4 linked regions of the Kluyveromyces lactis genome follow. The protein of the gene in region 4 interacts with the protein of the main gene of each other region in a pairwise test. Links are inferred from orthologs where the notes say so. Each region holds a gene or a part of one and is shown on either strand. Other genes may lie near its edges.

Evidence for each region. The genes of interacting proteins can lie anywhere in the genome.
Region 1: the proteins of KEX1 (region 4) and SHO1 interact in a protein complementation assay, tested with the Saccharomyces cerevisiae proteins (2 studies listed by BioGRID). The link is inferred for Kluyveromyces lactis from reciprocal best matches to the Saccharomyces cerevisiae genes KEX1 and SHO1.
Region 2: the proteins of KEX1 (region 4) and CHS3 interact in binary tests that used the Saccharomyces cerevisiae proteins (3 or more experiments, as listed by UniProt). The link is inferred for Kluyveromyces lactis from reciprocal best matches to the Saccharomyces cerevisiae genes KEX1 and CHS3.
Region 3: the proteins of KEX1 (region 4) and FLC2 interact in a protein complementation assay, tested with the Saccharomyces cerevisiae proteins (2 studies listed by BioGRID). The link is inferred for Kluyveromyces lactis from reciprocal best matches to the Saccharomyces cerevisiae genes KEX1 and FLC2.

What each region holds. Positions count from the first base shown.
Region 1 is NC_006041.1:628,007-631,537, reverse strand, and holds SHO1 (osmosensor SHO1), read right to left. Parts: upstream 1,762-3,531; coding exon 688-1,761; downstream 1-687. Other genes in the region: DNA-binding protein kinase TEL1, read left to right, coding at 1-384; AVT5 (amino acid transporter), read right to left, coding at 2,085-3,455. UniProt on the Saccharomyces cerevisiae protein: Plasma membrane osmosensor that activates the high osmolarity glycerol (HOG) MAPK signaling pathway in response to high osmolarity.
Region 2 is NC_006040.1:301,790-306,545, forward strand, and holds the start of CHS3 (chitin synthase CHS3), read right to left. Parts: upstream 2,988-4,756; coding exon 1-2,987. Other genes in the region: KLLA0_D03520g (M20 family metallo-hydrolase), read left to right, coding at 4,116-4,756. UniProt on the Saccharomyces cerevisiae protein: Polymerizes chitin, a structural polymer of the cell wall and septum, by transferring the sugar moiety of UDP-GlcNAc to the non-reducing end of the growing chitin polymer.
Region 3 is NC_006037.1:299,537-304,451, reverse strand, and holds FLC2 (flavin adenine dinucleotide transporter FLC2), read right to left. Parts: upstream 2,988-4,915; coding exon 633-2,987; downstream 1-632. Other genes in the region: protein AIM2, read left to right, coding at 1-335; ACS1 (acetate--CoA ligase 1), read left to right, coding at 4,787-4,915. UniProt on the Saccharomyces cerevisiae protein: May be responsible for the transport of FAD into the endoplasmic reticulum lumen, where it is required for oxidative protein folding.
Region 4 is NC_006042.1:922,737-926,994, forward strand, and holds KEX1 (serine-type carboxypeptidase), read right to left. Parts: upstream 2,606-4,258; coding exon 677-2,605; downstream 1-676. Other genes in the region: KLLA0_F09977g (uncharacterized protein), read left to right, coding at 1-604; ARO8 (bifunctional 2-aminoadipate transaminase/aromatic-amino-acid:2-oxoglutarate transaminase), read left to right, coding at 3,833-4,258.

The DNA.
Region 1 (3,531 bases), on a different chromosome or scaffold from region 4:
ATCGAAGGTTTGTTTAGAAATAACTGCGAAAGAGTATTTAAGGTGTTACAAGACGAGAAAGAGCGATTATTATGTGTTCTAAATGTTCTGAAATGGGACCCATTATATTCATGGAAGATGACTCCCTTGAAGAAGCAAAGATTGCAAGCAAAGTTTACTGGTGATTATGATGAGGAGGAAATTAGTGTTTCCGATGCAGATTTCAGCGAGCTTTTAGAAGAAGATAATAATAATGATGAATCCATAAGAGCACTAAAGGGAGTTGAAAGTAAGTTATATGGAGACGGTTTGAGCGTTGAAGCAATTGTTCAGGAGCTTTTGTCCAGTGCTACTGACAAACAAAATTTAGCGACAATTTACATGGGATGGTCCCCATTTTATTAAGATTGATGTGTTTGAAGTTCTTACTCGAGATGAAGACTTTATTATACTACCAGCACCTGAAGCGATTTGCAAGCAGTATAATTATAAATAATAGCATATTCATTAAATAGCATGATTCATTCGAAGCAAGTATTTGCGTGTTAATGAAGAATTCAGTAACTGTGTTGATAAAAGCACTTGAATTTTTCGCGAATAAGGTTGATAAGCCGGTTGTTATTGCAAACTGTGGAAATAATATAATATAAAAGACGATACACAAATCAAATGTTTAATGATACAAACTGATGGGAGGCAGTAATAAAATCAGTGTGATTTCCCATCCAAAAGCTTAACGTAATTACTTGGGATAATCCCTGTTTCCCCGTTTGACTTCTTGGCTTTCCACCATCTACCCTCGATATCACCAACCCTGAGAATTTCGCCCTGTTCGAAGGATATTTCATACGCGTCAGTTTGGTCCGCTTGATAGGTATATAAAGCCTCTGCAGTGTATGGGAAACTGTTTAATTCTTCACCAATGTCACTGTATAGGCCTAATGTGTCTCCCATGGTAGTATCTGTGTTGGCATTGGTGGTATCTGTGATGAAAGTGCCAGTGGCCTGTGTATTCAGTGTAGCAGTATTTTGCGCATTAACATCAAGGTTTGGTTTCGAAGAGGAATGATCTGTATTTTCAAATCCGTTCAGCACTGTAGACGACACATACTTTGTAGACGATTGAAGTTCTGGCGCATACATGTTGCCACTGTGGCCCTCACCTTCGTCATCGTGGTGGACATCAGGCAGAGATGCTGAACGCAAGTCTTCCTGGTATTGGTATGGGTAAGAAGGTTTGACCGGCAGTCTCTGCGATCTGGCAATAGCCATGGATGTCTCTAGCACCGAAGGACGAATTCCGCGTAGTGAGAACGAATCGATCCATCTATTGGTTGGAGATGCATTATCTCCACCAAAATAAATCACCCACACCAAATTGATCATGGATAACAAGATAAATCCTGCTGCTGCTGCACCACTCTTGGACCCTTCATAGTACACAATACTGTTAGTACTATTCGAAGTATATACGAATGCGATACCAACAGCACAAGTAATGAACATTCTATAGTAGTCAACTAAATCCAAACAGTACACGATAAAAAGCGTAATCATTAGTAGTATCTCGTAAACTATAGTCCACCAAGAAAATCTTGGGAATGGAGACGTAGATGCTGCAACAGCAATGGATCCCGCCAATGCAATGATCCATGAGATCAATGCAATACTAAGTGTGCCTATGGCAAAAGGATCGCCCAAAAATGACGAGATGTTAAATTGATGAGATACATGCGGATTCTCCCTTACAGCACGGGCTTGACTTGCTTTAATCAACGCCATCTCTCTGTTTGCAGATATTCCCTTGCCTCGCTGGACTATTGGAACACTTGTGACAACACAACAACTAAAATTGAAATAAACTTGCTTCAAGTTCAAGTATGTTCGTATTGATTACTTTTTATATTTATGTATATACGGTATACATTTATCATTTTTTTTGGTGTCTGTCTACAATGAGAGATGAGTTATTTTTTGATCATGTGACAGGCAGCAACCAAAGGCTCGCTAGGAATACGCGGGCCGCTTATTTAGAGTGTCAATCGGGAGTACAATTGGTAGCAGTATCAATGGTTAGTCTCTAGTACCCTGTTTATCCTGTACCCTCAATGTGTCGCATGTAGAAATATGGTAGCACTTAGTGAAGTTATCATGACGATGAATCCCCAAATAGCAAGTAACAATGAGATAATTCTCAAGATTCGTTCTTTTGCTGGTGGTACAACGGATTTGGCGTACTCCGATGCGATTAACTTGTAGCCAAATATTCCAGGTAAGATGAAGGATATAGAAGTGGATCCGGTTGCTCCTACTATTGACAAAACGTTTGCTAGCGACGTAACACTCATAGCGAGGATGTACGAAAATAATAGGATTCCAGACGTGATAAAGATGAATCTAGGGCCTTCTAACGTTACTACTGGAGGCTGATTAGCGCTGTTTTCTTCAATTAATTCGTCTTCGCATTCGTAGGTTAACTGTTCGCTAGATTCGAGTTCAGAGTCCCGTAATAGACTGTTTTGTTCTGCACTTGTGGTTGTCATTGGGGGATGGGTGTTCCCCTTGGAGAAGTAATGTAAGATATGATTGACAGATGCTCTAGCTGGATGACATTGTAGCGGGAAGGCAAGGATCACTAACAATGCTATAGCTATTCTACCGATGGTGCTGGAAATGGAGTTTGGGTATAAGGTGATAATGTTACCAGTAATATGATCACCGAAGGTGCAATAACCTAGCGCTCCAATGGAAATGTACAAAGACATTGCTAGCGTAATGGCAATCCTAATCAATTTCGTTATACTGTCTAAAGATTTGTCTGATTGTTCATTGATGATGGAAAACATGTTGTGATGGCAAGTATACGCGAAAACGAAAATTGGAAAACTGCTTAGCATGGATGAATCCACATCACTGGGTTTCCAGATGCTAACATGGCCTCTTAAATGGTCGATTTCGCTATTTGGAACGGCAAAATGGAAGACAACTAATACGCATAAGTACCCAACTGCTGTAATTGCAATGGAAGAAGTGTACCTTAAAGAGTCTAACTTCTTAATGAAACACAACGGTGTCACGATGATCAACGTAACTGCAGTGATGTGAAACTGGCGTGATAAGAGCCACCCATGGGTTGTAAACGTGGACATTATCTGTGGTAACAAATCTCCAACGACCACCAAATATGAAACTCCGACCCCAAAACATTTAACAGCAATTGCAGCATCGAAAACGACGCTCAATTCAGGACGAGTTAATCTGCAAAGAGTGAAAAACGAGGCATGTCCAGGAGGAACGTATTTCGACACGTATGATTGTAAATATAACCCCGTAGAGGAACACAAGCCGCAGAATATAATCATTGACAAACCCAAAATCAATCCAAAGGGTTTAAAAGCATAAGGCATTGCAAGGATACCAGCCCCGCATGCCGTATGAAGAAGTGTGATGACCCCAGATTGTACACTGGATGACATCCTGTACTACGTTATAGTTAATTTTAAGGTGCTATCTCGTCAGTAGGAGAAACTACCTGTACTTCCTTATTTTGTG
Region 2 (4,756 bases), on a different chromosome or scaffold from region 4:
AAAGTACCACAAAGATCCTTCACTAAGACCAACTCAAACAAATTGTGGACAGTAGAGTTAATCCAACGTCTTCTTTGGGAAAGCAAAACTTTGAAAGTGGCTGGAACAACGGTTTTACAAGCAGCCTTAGGAACAAAAACTGTTTTACGTTTGGGGAATGTTTTCAAAAGTAGTGATGATAGATATCTATCTTCACCTAATAATAATAGATTCTTCTTATGCAATGTGTCCGTAACGTTATCTGAATACCTTTCGACGATATCCGGATTCGCAAGAATAGGAACCCAAAATCCGTCTTTACCTTTCGGCGTCTTAATTCTATAAACAGAAAAACAACCTGGCAAACACGTTACGGAACCGAAAACCGATTCAAACGCCTTAGACTGATGATGAGAAATAAAATACTCAAAAACTTGGATTGCACTAACCCACGATTCACCTTTATTGGCGATTTTAGTCTCACCGCACAATCCCATGATTAATGGATCATGCACCATTTCTGAAAGCATATGAGTCAAAGAGTCTGGGAAAACCTTAGTATCTGCATCAACCATTAATACTGTTTCATAAAAATTAGCCATTAACCCTGTAATTTGCCATATATTTTTCATTAGTTGGAACTCTAAAGCCGACATTCTTTCATCAAAAGTCACTTTTTGTAGGAAAGACATCAATATAATTTGTGAATCACGCTTACCTCTGTTACCAGGCTTCGCTGAGCCTTGTTCTTCAGCTGTACCACATTTTACAATGGTGATAATTGGAACACGTTGCTGATTTTCGGCGGGTATGGTGGATTCATCGTATTTATAAAACCCAGCATATATTTTTGCCATATTATGTCTTTTTGCGCCAACTGCAATTGCAACGTAAGGATAAGCTGTAACTTGCTCCTTGGGAATCACAAAGTCTTCCATCATATCTAATACTATGTCCGGGGTGGTTCTGTCATTACCAGAACCTTTAATAATACCATCGCAGATTACAACGATTAATTTATGAGAGTTTGGATAATCTGTGGTTGCAATGGAATCTAATGTTGTTCTTAAACCTACCTCATCTTCTGAATAACAGGTGACACAGCAGAGTGAGTGAACCAATGGAAATCCATAGGGCATGAAGTCTGGGGGCGGCTGTAATACTGCATCGGGGTGAATGATCGTTGGATCTAACGATTCCATAGTCATTGAAGTACCGAAAGGATCAAGATTGTCGGAAAAAGGATTAATAGTGGAGACCGGTCTTGACTGCGAGGCGAATCCAGCATGTGCACTTTTTCTCTTCATTTCATTCATATATGCTGATTTCAGCACGGATTGTGTAGTCATTGTAGACATACCAGTACTTTCAAGGCTCTGAATGACAGGATCATTCAAGTGTACAGATTTACCCAATGATTGTTGGCTAAATCGGGATTTACGGTTGAATAAACTGATACTGGAGCTGTTTTTTTTATGATTTTTCTTCATTGGTCTTAATGATGGATCAACGGGCTTCAAAGGACCACGAGAATTGATATCTTCTGACCAATCTTCTAAGTCGTTATTATGTTTGGCGAGTTGTTTGTTGTCAACAGTGTACGCACCTTGTTTTTTTGCTACAAAGTAGTGGAAGTAGCACGCGATGAAGAATTTACAACCGACAACGGATAGAATGAATACCAAAGATAAATATAATACCACTTGAGAAGCAATACAGCCGATACTTTCTGAATCAATAACACCAACCTTAGCAAGTTCAACGAGACAACGGGCTACATTTCTTTCTCTGCTAGTGGATAAGACCAATGAAATGTCATAACCTTCTAAATTGGCTGATTTCAAGACATCAAATGTCTCTGGATATGTAAGATCGTCAGTTTCTAGCCAGTCTAAGATCCCCAAATCAATAACGTCACCATTATATACAATCAACTTTCTCGTAGAATTTTTAATATCCTCCCAGGAGAAGTATACCTCCGCCGGGGCATTAAGGGCATAGTACTGTTCCCTGGCAGTCGAGCTCGTGTGACAACCCCAGCCAGCGTAGTATTCTGACTCTGTGAAGTTAGGTTTACTTGAACCATCTTGGTTAACAAGTTTGCATGGGAAGTACCATGCCATATTTCCGTCGTCATCGAAAGGAATAGTAGAATTTTCTCTTGGTTCAATCAACCCTTTGCAGTTACCGTTAACGTTTTGGAAAAGGAAAGACGCGTCCATGCCACCAGCATTCACAGGAGGATATAGAATATTAGATCCCCCAGGGATACCAGCTGCAGCTGGATGAGAAGAAGATTCTAGAGAGTATGCCTGTCCATGAATAATTAATTGTCCTGTGGTGGCTTCATTGTTGCGCATCCTTACTTTGCCTGGAACACAGACAGTTCTTGTGAACCCGAAAGTCAGGTAAGCGACAAACGCTCCAATATAAAAGATGATTGAAATCAACCCAATTTTATCTCTCCATGCTCTTTGAACCGCTTTTGTCTTCATGCCAAACAATTTTAAAACGGAAGGAGGAATGAAGATTGTAATCAAAAAACAGTACGATTGCCATAACGAAAAGCCCACTTTGGGCTTGTTTTGATCTTTGGCCTTAGATTCTAACCTTTGTCCGATCTCTATTGGAGGAGACACGTTCTTTTCTGAATAAATACTGTTTTTCTTTTCAAACCCATCGCTACCCTCCATTACCAACCTTTCATTTGGTTCACCATATTCACCCACTGTGTTCAAAGAAGAACTTGGAAGTTTATCGTTTGACTGTACATTCAGGTCTTGCATTGGAATATCCAACGAGGACTCTTCAGGCAAAGCACCTGTTGTGGAAGGATTGATCTGAAGATGAGTTTCCTTCGCTTTTAAAGCATAATAATGGTATGGATGGTCTGGATCTTTAAAACTATTTCTTTCAGGTCTGACCAAAGAGCCTTGTCTTGAAATCTGTCTCTGAGACCGAGATTTCAACAGTGACTCGTTGTCAAATGCATAGTAATCATCAGACATGAGGGTCTAAATGATATTGTGTTCAAAATGAAGAAATCGGACAACAAAAAAAACCACAGTCGAAAATAAATAGATATATGACCTCAAATGATGGTAGAAAACAGCAGTTAATATCCGTAATGTGAAATGAATAGAACAGACAATGTTGCTATTATTTTATTGTCAATATTTTTTTTCCGAGTTTTAAGTCAATTACTATTTTTATCACAGATCAGATTCTTTAGTATTGAAACGAATGGGGACTAAATGCACCGAATGGTATGTATGCAACACTCTAACCGCACGTATGATAAAAGCAGAAAACAACAGGGTATCTTCGAAGGGAAATCTCACGATTGGTGCGCAGTCTGCAACATGTAAATATTTCAAGAATTAGACATAAACAATGACAATAATATTAATGTTCTAATGCTGATGATGGAGATGATGGTTTCTGTGTTAGCTTTTTCGAAACCTGGGATTTACTTCAGATTATATTTACCCGGATATTTCATGGGAATGGCGTCCATTCTTTTACCCGATTGGGTTAAAGGACTTGTCACGTGAGGCTACTCCTAATCAAGAATTTTCTCGGATATTCCGGAGCACAAGCGGTGCGTGTGTTCCCGGGTTCGAATCTTTAGGGGACCAGTAATATATATATATATATATATATATATATTACGATGTGTGCTGCAACAAGTTACAGAGTAAAAGAGATCGACACATGAGCCGGTGATGAGGAAAAAAGCCTGATCCAAGCAACCACGGCAAGTACCGACCTGAGATCTCGGGTATGGTGATCCTGTATATGATATGATTATCATGAACTTTTTTTCCGAATCTGATTCCGTTCTTCGAATTGGCAACTGTTTAGTTTATTTGGAACCCTATCTCGCATTTGATAACGTCGCAAAAAAAAATGGACTACCTAGATAGAATTAGGTTAAAGGCTGCAACTCGATAAGCGAGAGATATCGATAGGTTGCAAGATATTGACTATAAGACATGTTTCAAAACATAAATATATATATATGTATACTAGAGTTGGTATTCTTGTTTGTCTCCAGGTTATGATGTTCCCTTTCCTGTTCAGTATGGAGCTAGTTTGAGCTACAAACAATACATAAACATCAAAAAAGAAAACTTATGACATCTACCATTGCTCCAACAACTACAACTACAACTACTGATTCTGCGACAGGCACAATCAATCTCGTCGGCCATGTTCCTTTGCAGATTGCTCCTGGAAGATTGAACGATACAATCTTATCTACCGGCAGCGAATTTGGAGGTGTTGCCAGATGGGGTGAAGAACGTCACGAATTTGGTATGAGGAGACTTGCAGGGACCGAATTAGACGGTAAGATGAGAGATTGGTTTGTTCGTGAATGTAAAGATCTTGGTTGTTCCATTAAAATTGACCAAATTGGTAACATTTTCGCCATATATCCAGGTAAGAACAGTGGGACTAAACCAACTGCGACAGGCTCGCATCTCGACACTCAGCCAGAAGCTGGTAAATACGATGGTATATTGGGTGTCTTAGCCGGGTTAGAAGTTCTAAGAACGTTCAAAGATAACAATTACGTCCCAAATTATGACGTGTGCGTTGTCGTTTGGTTCAATGAAGAAGGTGCCAGATTTGCCAGATCTTGTACTGGGTCTTCTGTCTGGTCACACGATCTTTCCTTAGAGGATGCTTACAGCTTGGTGTCAATTGGTGAAGAACATCCAGAGACAGTTAAAGAATCCTTAACCAAAATCAATTACATTGGAGACGTTCCAGC
Region 3 (4,915 bases), on a different chromosome or scaffold from region 4:
CTTTATTACAAATCAATGAAAAAGTCGGTTTGGCTGATGCAGCTGCCCTTGCTCACCCATCATTCGTTGAGATCGAAGAAGTGGAAGCAGTTGGTAAAAAGCCAGTGCTGATTTCTGCAGCTGAAACTGATAACATCTTCCCTGAAGAATTAAGATATAAGACCGAAGAAGCTTTAAAAAAACAAGGCAGCTACTACCAAATCAATGTATTTGGCGGTGTTTCCCATGGGTTTGCTGTCAGAGGTGACTTAAGCATTCCAGCAGTGAGATATGCTCAAGACAAAACCATCGAAGACCAAATTTCATTCTTCAAATTCTTCTTCAATTGCATCTGAAAAGCTTAACTATATATCTGTTAGCTTTTGCAGGATGTAACTACATTTTCCTTTGATTTTTGAATGTTAAAGTTACGTTGTAAGTTTACATATGTATATTTAGTTCAACTATTCATTGCTTCCTTAATTGTTTGTTTCTCCGATGGCTAATATGCGCAACCACATGTGGGAGGAAGAATGCAAAAAGGTGCAGATGTTCATAGAATGTATATACATCTTAATTCTTAATGATTTCTTGTCTTGGAATTATTATACAATTGCTCGCGTTCTTGAATACCAGAGTGTATGTGTAAGAGCTTACAAATACGGTACATTGTCAGATTTATTATTCGTTTGTCTGGTAAAACTGTTGTAGCTTGGGTTTTCGTTCAAATATGGGTTGCTACCAGAGAAACCTTGATATTGTGTGTTAGCAGAGAAGGAGTTTTCCGGTTTCCTTAAATTTGTAGTGCTTGGAGCTGTTGGAACACGGTTATAACTCGTGGTATTGTCCCCCATGACGGCAGAACTTGGCTGCAATGGTTCGTTTCCGCTCGAAGAGTCAAATCTTCTAATACGAGATGAAGTATCGTATGTGGTATTAGAGTCGTCGATATCTTCATCAAACAATAATCTTGCAGAATTATTTGATTGTTTCATTTCAAATTCGTCTTTTAAAGGTGGTTCGTTAGTGTGCATAGCAGCTCTACCCAAATCGAACAATTCTCCTGTTTCACCCTTTGTTTGAACCTTTGGAATGAAAGAAACACGATCATCCTTCATTGGTTGGTAACGAGCATCTGGGTTCTTGTGAACCAAGGCCAACACACACGTAACAATAGTGAAGATCATGAGGAATAGTGCAAAAATAGCGTTCACGACAAATAGTATGACTGCCATAACACTGGAAACCACAGTAGGTTGTCTGAACAAGTTCGAGAAGAATAAAAATAAGATAGAATTGAACAAGTTGACCGCATGAATCACGATATTGAACGCATTGGTACGTTTATCCAAGTAAGGTCTTAACCAACATAATGCAATGAAATATGCCAATTCTATAACGAAAATGATCATTGCTTGAGGTTTCCCGTGTTCTTGAAGTACGGCAACAAACAAAGATCTGAAGAACATGTATGCTAATAATGGCATCAACCACCAGTACATTTCAGCCTTGAATTGAACGTACAAGAAACCGAATCTATTCAAGAACGGAGCATCACCATAGAGCATGTATGCTGGGGTTTTGTATAAACGTGTAGATTCTCTCCCTCTTATGATCACCCTCACGACGCCATACAATAGTAATCCTGAGACAACAATAAGTATGACGACAGCGGCAATAACCACAGCGACGGAATCAATTTGAGTGAATTCCCATATGGATAGAATGGAAACCTGTGGGAAGGCAATGATGCAGATTCTGAACAAGGTACCTTTGATAATACTGGCCCAGGATCTTCTATATTCGTAAAATTTTGAAGTCTGTTTCATGTATCCTGCTCTCATTAGCAATTCGATGACAGCTTTGAAGACTGCCATACCGATAACCATACAGAAGACAAAGAAAAGAGTGAAGACGATACCTGTCAAAAAGACATTACTCAATTCAATGCCGGCCAAGTACGCGACACGCTTAATACCAGTAAAGACAATAACTTTAGAAGAAATGTCATCAATGTTTCTCTCATCCGAAGTGTATAAATCACTTTCGGAAAGCAACTTAGTGAAATCGTACCCATCATCAGCAGATATTCTTTTGTAAAGACCAGTGGTTAAACTGTCTAATGATCTTTTCGCAAAATCGTTAAACTGCGTTGTAAATCCTCTTTTCTGCACTGAGATGGATAGAATATCTTTGTTTGCTACGACCACAACAGGGGTACCGCCAGTAGCAGTAACATACCAATCGAATATATTTTGCATGAACCCCACTTTAATCATACCCATGGACCATTGGAAATTTTGGGTCCAAGCGGCAGCGATAGGTGGGACACGCGCCACACCCATCATCGAAGTGATAGCCAAATTTTGGAAGTACACAAACAATGAGATGGAGTTAGAAGCAATATGAGCAGCTGTGGTGGAATGTCCAATAACTGAAACGATAGCTGACGTGATAACACCCAATCCTGAAATCGCAGCGATAGGCCAAGCAGCATATTTGGTCTGAACGGTCTTACCATTGGACAGAGCAGCTTGCACACACGCTAGTGGCTCTTCGAAACTTGTATCGTTTGTTGAGTAAACGATGACACGCACTTGTGCGTCGATATCAGGAACTGTGTACGCGACCCCTGGAATGTTACCAACCATGTCGTTATCCTCATCCAAAGAATACGTGGATTTTACCTCGATTCTACCTGCACTTAGAGGACACATGGAGGCTTGGTCCAAATCACATAAGTTGAACTCTTCGTTGAGGACGTTTAGCCCATAAATGATTAATTCGATCTTGGCAGTGACATTTTCGCTAATGGTGGTAGTAGCATCGATATCAAACACAGCGGTCTTATTATCGGGGAAGAAAGTGACTTCGAAGAACGACGCAGAAAATTGCGAGTCTTCCATGCAAGTGAGAAGCGAGGACGTCTTGATGTGTTTGAGACCATTGGTGAACGGTAAAATCACCAATGTCGTGAGAAATCCGACAAGCAGAGAAAAGGCCCGCATGATGACAAGAACAACAAGTGTATACTGGGGAGCAGCTGCAGCTTAGTAGTCTCTGCTTTGTTTAAGGTATGTAATCTTTGATGGTATACAACTCTAAAGGGAAGGTTACCATTAACACTAACGCAATAAGATTCTCTATTTAAAAGTCGATAAAGGTTAAAGTCAAATCAAATAAACTTATTTCAACTGAAATTTCAATAATTTCAATGTTGAGAAATTGTTATTTTTGGAAATACCAAAACGGTAAAGAAATTGAAAAGGCGCAGCATTCACCGTTAACCAGGATGCGTACGATGTGAGGTACACGAAATCACGGGACCTACAGCAAGTATATAGCGAAAATAAGTATACATGAAGTCAGATAAGAAGGGGAGAGGCACAGTGCAACGGTAGACTGATTGTAAAGGGTGTATTCCTGCCTATCCTGTTCGCTCTATTTCCTCAAATCAAGGCTGTTGTTCCCTTTGCATTGTCAGTTACAGGAAAAAGGGAAGAATGCTGCATTAGCATAGTATACGTATTATTTGTTTTCTATATTCCTAACAAGAAAATAGTAGTTTTTTTTTAATGCAATATCAGAAGTTTGATCTCTTGATTCGCGAGTCACGTGTGTATATCAGGGTAATAAAGCAGTGGAAGTCACGTGTTTCCACAGTGGTGGATTCGGGTAAGGCTGTGATACTGGACACAGGACCCTGTTTACGCAATAAACAGACAACGGACGAATGTCCATTGTCCGTCTCTCTTCTCCCCTCCAGGGTTGTATGCTCGATAACGTAACAACCCCGATTTTTTTCTGTACAGAACACTTTCCCAAAAACTGTCCGGGTGGTACCGAGAGGATTAATGGAAGCTTTCCCATTCGTTTAACCGCCGAGCACGCAAAACCCAAGCAAAACTTAAGAAAAACCAGGCAGAGCACAGGCATAGCTTCTCTCCACTGCTTCTCCCCTAGTCATCTTTTCTGCTTCCTATAATTCTTATTTTTTTCTCCACAAATATTCTCTTCTCAAAAAAAAAAAAACTGGATGGATGGATGACCCGGTGCGACCGGCTGGATCCACATTGATTTCCCCTCACAACCGCACTGCAAAACGCGTTAAACGCGGCAGTTCTCCAAAATTGGAGCAATCGAAAAAGAAGGGGAAAATCCCAGACATGTCAAATGAAATCGTCTCGTATAAGCTCTGGGCCGCTTCTTGACAGGCTATGCTACACGTAAACGGGAACTGACTAGAAAGGCTGGAACAATAGAAGAGAGACACTTGGACAAAATTAAGGGTTCAATTCTCAACATGATACGATACTCAGAGATCATCTTCATCTTTAATCGCTACTCCGTATCTATTCCGTATCCACTCCGTTAGTGACTCCGTAGCCTCTCCATTATCTGGTTTCCCATTTTACTCTTTGTTTCCTCTCTCGATGGCAATTACAAGATAGCTAATTACTATCACATCTCTGAGTTCTCAACAGAAACAGGAAAAAAATAATGACCCATTCTTTTCTTAATTGATACATGTTTTCGATTACTTTCTAAGCGAATGAATGAATGATCATCGTTCTTATTTATCCATATTGTAATTAGTGAGGGGAAAACAATGATTTGACTTGATGGAATAGTATTTAAATAGACAAGAGTTTTGTAACTGTTGGACATCATGTGAGTTTGAAGTATGGTGTATTTATATAATAATTATGTTTATATGTTAGTTGTTGGCTAATACTAGTAATCAAACACAATTATCTAACAGGGTGACAGAGGTAGTAGTGATATAAAAATCCATATTTTGTGCCAAATGTCTCCTGCTGTTGATACCGCTTCCACCGCCAAAGATCCAATCTCAGTCATGAAATCTAACGCTTCAGCTGCCGCTGCAGACCAAATTAAGACCCATGAATACGAACATTTAACTTCTGTGCCTATA
Region 4 (4,258 bases):
TGAGCATAGCGCCACATATGACGAAAACGAGACAAGGAAGCTTGAGCAACGGCTAGGACATCACAGCAGCAAAATACCACGTGTTGCATTAGATTGTAACGTGAACAATAATTTACTGGATGATGACCCTTTTTTCTTTTATATTAATGACGCTGACGAATTGAACTATTTGAAAATGCTAGGAGTGAACGTATCCCCCGAGAAAATTGAAGAAATCTTGATAGAATTTCGGGCACAAGTGCTAGCATTAGATACTATCAATACCTTAGAAAGGCAGCAAAATTATCTTTCTGCTGAAGAATCACTTTCTGCTCTCCTTTATAAAGAAGCACAACGACCACCACTGAAGACTAATAGTTACAAACATTTGTTCAAGAAAATCCTTATATTCTGGCGTAAACACCAATATGCGATGAATACAGACATATCTCTAGTAGATTCATCGGTAACTTCTTGTTCATCTTCCATTTTTCCACAAAGAGTACAAACGATACAGCATGAAGGATCGTTTTTCAGTCTCACGAATAGTCTCATATCACCAAATAAAAGGAAAAAGACGTGGTTTATACAAGGACATTTGAAAAAGCTTTTCAAGCTACAATGAACAACCAAAAAAAAACTGTAACTCAAGTTTAAGCGTTTGATATAGTAATGTTTTTACTTAAATATCTCTATCTTATAGGTTATCAAGTTCGAATGAATCGTCATCAGTGTTAGGCACCTTTGTATAACCAGATTTGTTTTTTGCTGGTTTGTCCGCAGTAGAGGGTGCCTCGTCAATGGATAACTTAAAATCATCGCCCTGGTTTTCTATGTCATCTGCCCATGCAACGGATTTGTTTGATGAAGGTGGCCTATTTTCCGGATCTATTAGAATAGCATGTATTTGCTTTCTGAAACGTTCACGCAAGAAATAATATGCAATGGTACCGGTAATTGAGAAAACGACCAGAAGTATGACAGCGATTTCGAATTTATCAGAGTTCCGGTGTCTATCCTTGTGCGAGTTCTCATCTTCATCTTGTTTTTGATCAGCTGACAATTCCTCTTCTCCTGTTGAGTGGTCCGAGTGTACAACGAAGTCTTTTGAGATAATAACATCATCTTGATTGTCTTTTCCGACTACTAACTCTACATCTTTCAAATAGATGTCCATAATACCTCTGCTGATTAAAGCATTATCGTAAGGGACCATATGCGATGCGTTGTACACGGAAACATACGTCAAATTACTTTCGTGCTTCACAAAACCTGCAGAAATTGTGTCATCTGTAAACTGGTCGTAGTATTGCCAGTCATAGTATTCGGCATCATTAGTAAATCCGGTATGATTGTTCCATTTCATATTTTTAATCAAATCCTGCACACCCCTTGAGTTGCAAATGATATCCTTATCACCATTGAACAAGAAAATTTGCATGTGTTTCAATAGATTGGGTAACAAATGAATCGAAGGCTGGGTGTTCTTGTTCTTCAAATGACTGCTCACCTTACTGTCACATTCTCTCCAATGTGGGACTTTATCAACATCCAAATGTAACGAATCCATCACACCTGGCTTACCCAAGAATTTAGAAACGCTAGGTAAATCATCTGGCCAGTTGCTTCCACAAGCTGGGTAGGAATCGAATAATCTAAAATCATATATGTTCGTACACTCCTGATTTGAAGGAACTTTATTCCCATTTTCATCTGTCTTTCTGCGGGTGTAATAAAGGATTTTGGTCAAAATATCTTCACATTCATCAAAGGAGAACTTTTTACCTCCATTATTATTGACTAAATTTTGACAACGACTATGCATATTTAATAAATCAGGGAAGTAATCAGCCTTCGTTGAAATTAAGTTATTCTCCAAAGCAAAAGGAATGTAAGATAAGGATTGTTGATCAGGATCAATCCAACCATTTCCAATCAACAGACTCTTTAAATTGTACTTCTTACCACTTCGGCTTTCCTCCTCATTGTCGTCTTTGTCCAATTTCGAGTTGAACTTTAGGATTTCATTAGCAAAGAATGGAATATACTGACCAGCATACGATTCTCCTGCCAAAACAAGGTCTTTATCCAAATCATCAGGGAAAATCTTGAAGTAGTTCTTTAAAAACTTCATGAAATGCTTTGAAACTTGGTTCAAATCTTTATCATATTTCGAATCACCTACCGTGGAAAAGCCAGTACCAGCAGGTTGATCCACAAACACAATATCACCTCTAGTGTGCCAAGAACCCGGATTTAAATAGGCTTCGCCGTCGTCATCGATCCGTAACGCACCTGATTCCATAAGAGCCCCATCTAAAGATGAGCATCCAGGCCCACCATTTAACCATATAATTAAAGTTTTGGATGCGACGACAGACGTCTGATTTGCGAGGTCATGGAACTTCCAAAAGAAATAGTTTTTCTCATCATCATCATCATCATCATCACCATCATCTAAGGGAATATGACCTGCATGCATTTCCGGGATAAGTTCCTTATCTTTAACGTCATTTAACCCAGGCAACAAATCGGGGGCCACTAAATAGTCCTTGGCATTTGGAAGACCTCCCAATGCACATTGAATGAGAAGAACCGTTTGAACAAAGAAAAGCCAAAGAGACATGACAGCACTCTAATTATATTCTAATGATTGTTGTGATTCATCCATGAAACCTTACTGTTAATATCAGCAAGAGAGAAATGATAAAAAAGAGAATAAAAAATATCGAGCGAGAGTCACAGCGCAACCTTTTATAACACAAATACGGCCCTATAAATGTCTAACAAACTGAAATAAACAGCGAGGTCTGAACCAAATAGGCGTTTTTAACGTTGATTCACCCCAGCAAAACCATATTCCTAAGTAATTTCATTTTTACCAAGCCTTTATTTAGCTTTAATATACACGAAACTTTCAAAACTGGCACTGGCAGTATATCCCTCCATTGAAAAAGAAAATCTATGTAAGCAAAAAACAGTCACGTGATATATATATATCGCGTGACTAATACCAAAAGCCTGTTAACATGAAAACCTGTCAACGACAAAAGGAAATACATGGGTCACAATTTCCGTGGTAAGAAGTCACATAATAGGCCCTGAGTCATGGATCGAACTCTCCAATACCGCAACTACCCCATAGTTACCGCAACTAACCGTACTTTACCGTAGTTGAAAAAAGAAAACGAAACACCGACAGGGCAAAAAGTCAAACCAGGAAACCCAATGCCTAAAATAACAAAGACATTTGCCTCGGAAATAACAGCATCACTAACCGTTACTTACCGCGATGCTGACCACTGCATGGCATATTCTCATTGACACCTTAATTACAGAAATCAACTTAAAACTAGAAACCCTGTGAAGAATAGTCACAAGATCTAAAGATATTACGATGTAAAGATGTAGCCATTCCAGTCGTTATCGTTAAGTGACAACCTTTATCTCGAGCACTTTATTTTTTTCCCTCTATTATCAGTCTTACGCAGTATGCTCTCTCTAAAACTTAAAAGTCTGTACCTAATTGCAGTCAAATTTCTCCAAAGTTACTTTTTCAGCTGGAATTTTTTTTTTCAATTTCAGTTGAGAAATTTACCAGTATGGTATATGCTGTAGTGAATCATACAGTATTCCTCATGTATATGTTAATATGTGTATATATAAGCAGCTGCGAGATGAAAAGATAGAATAGACATTCGCGTTATGAAGGATTAGTTTGTGCAGTTTACACAGTTAGATTTGGTTTATACACTGTTTGTAATTCTTATATACTTTAGATATATTATCTTGGCTTAGCATCAAACCAATCTAAATTGAACCAAAAGCTTTCACCGAGAATACATATTACATCATGACTCAAGGTGTTGCTAAGGATTTTTCACACTTGTACAGTGATGAGACTAAAAGTCGTATGCCTTCTCAATTGAAGTCAATTATACATTATTTCAATGATCCAAACTTGATCTTTTTGGGTGGTGGTTTACCAATGTCTGATTACTTCCCATGGGATAACTTGACTGTGGAATCTCCTCTACCACCTTTCTCCAACGGTATCGGTGCCAAACCATCTGGGGATGATGCCGATACTTGTCAGATTCATATCACCAAGAACTTAGAGGAATCTCAAAAGGGTGTCGATATTCCATTGTCAAGATCTTTGCAATATGGTTACTCTCAAGGTCAACCTGAAATCACGAAGTTCTTCAAAGAGCACCATTCTTTGATTCATGACATGAAGTACGAGAATTGGGATGTGTTGGCTACCATTGGTAACACC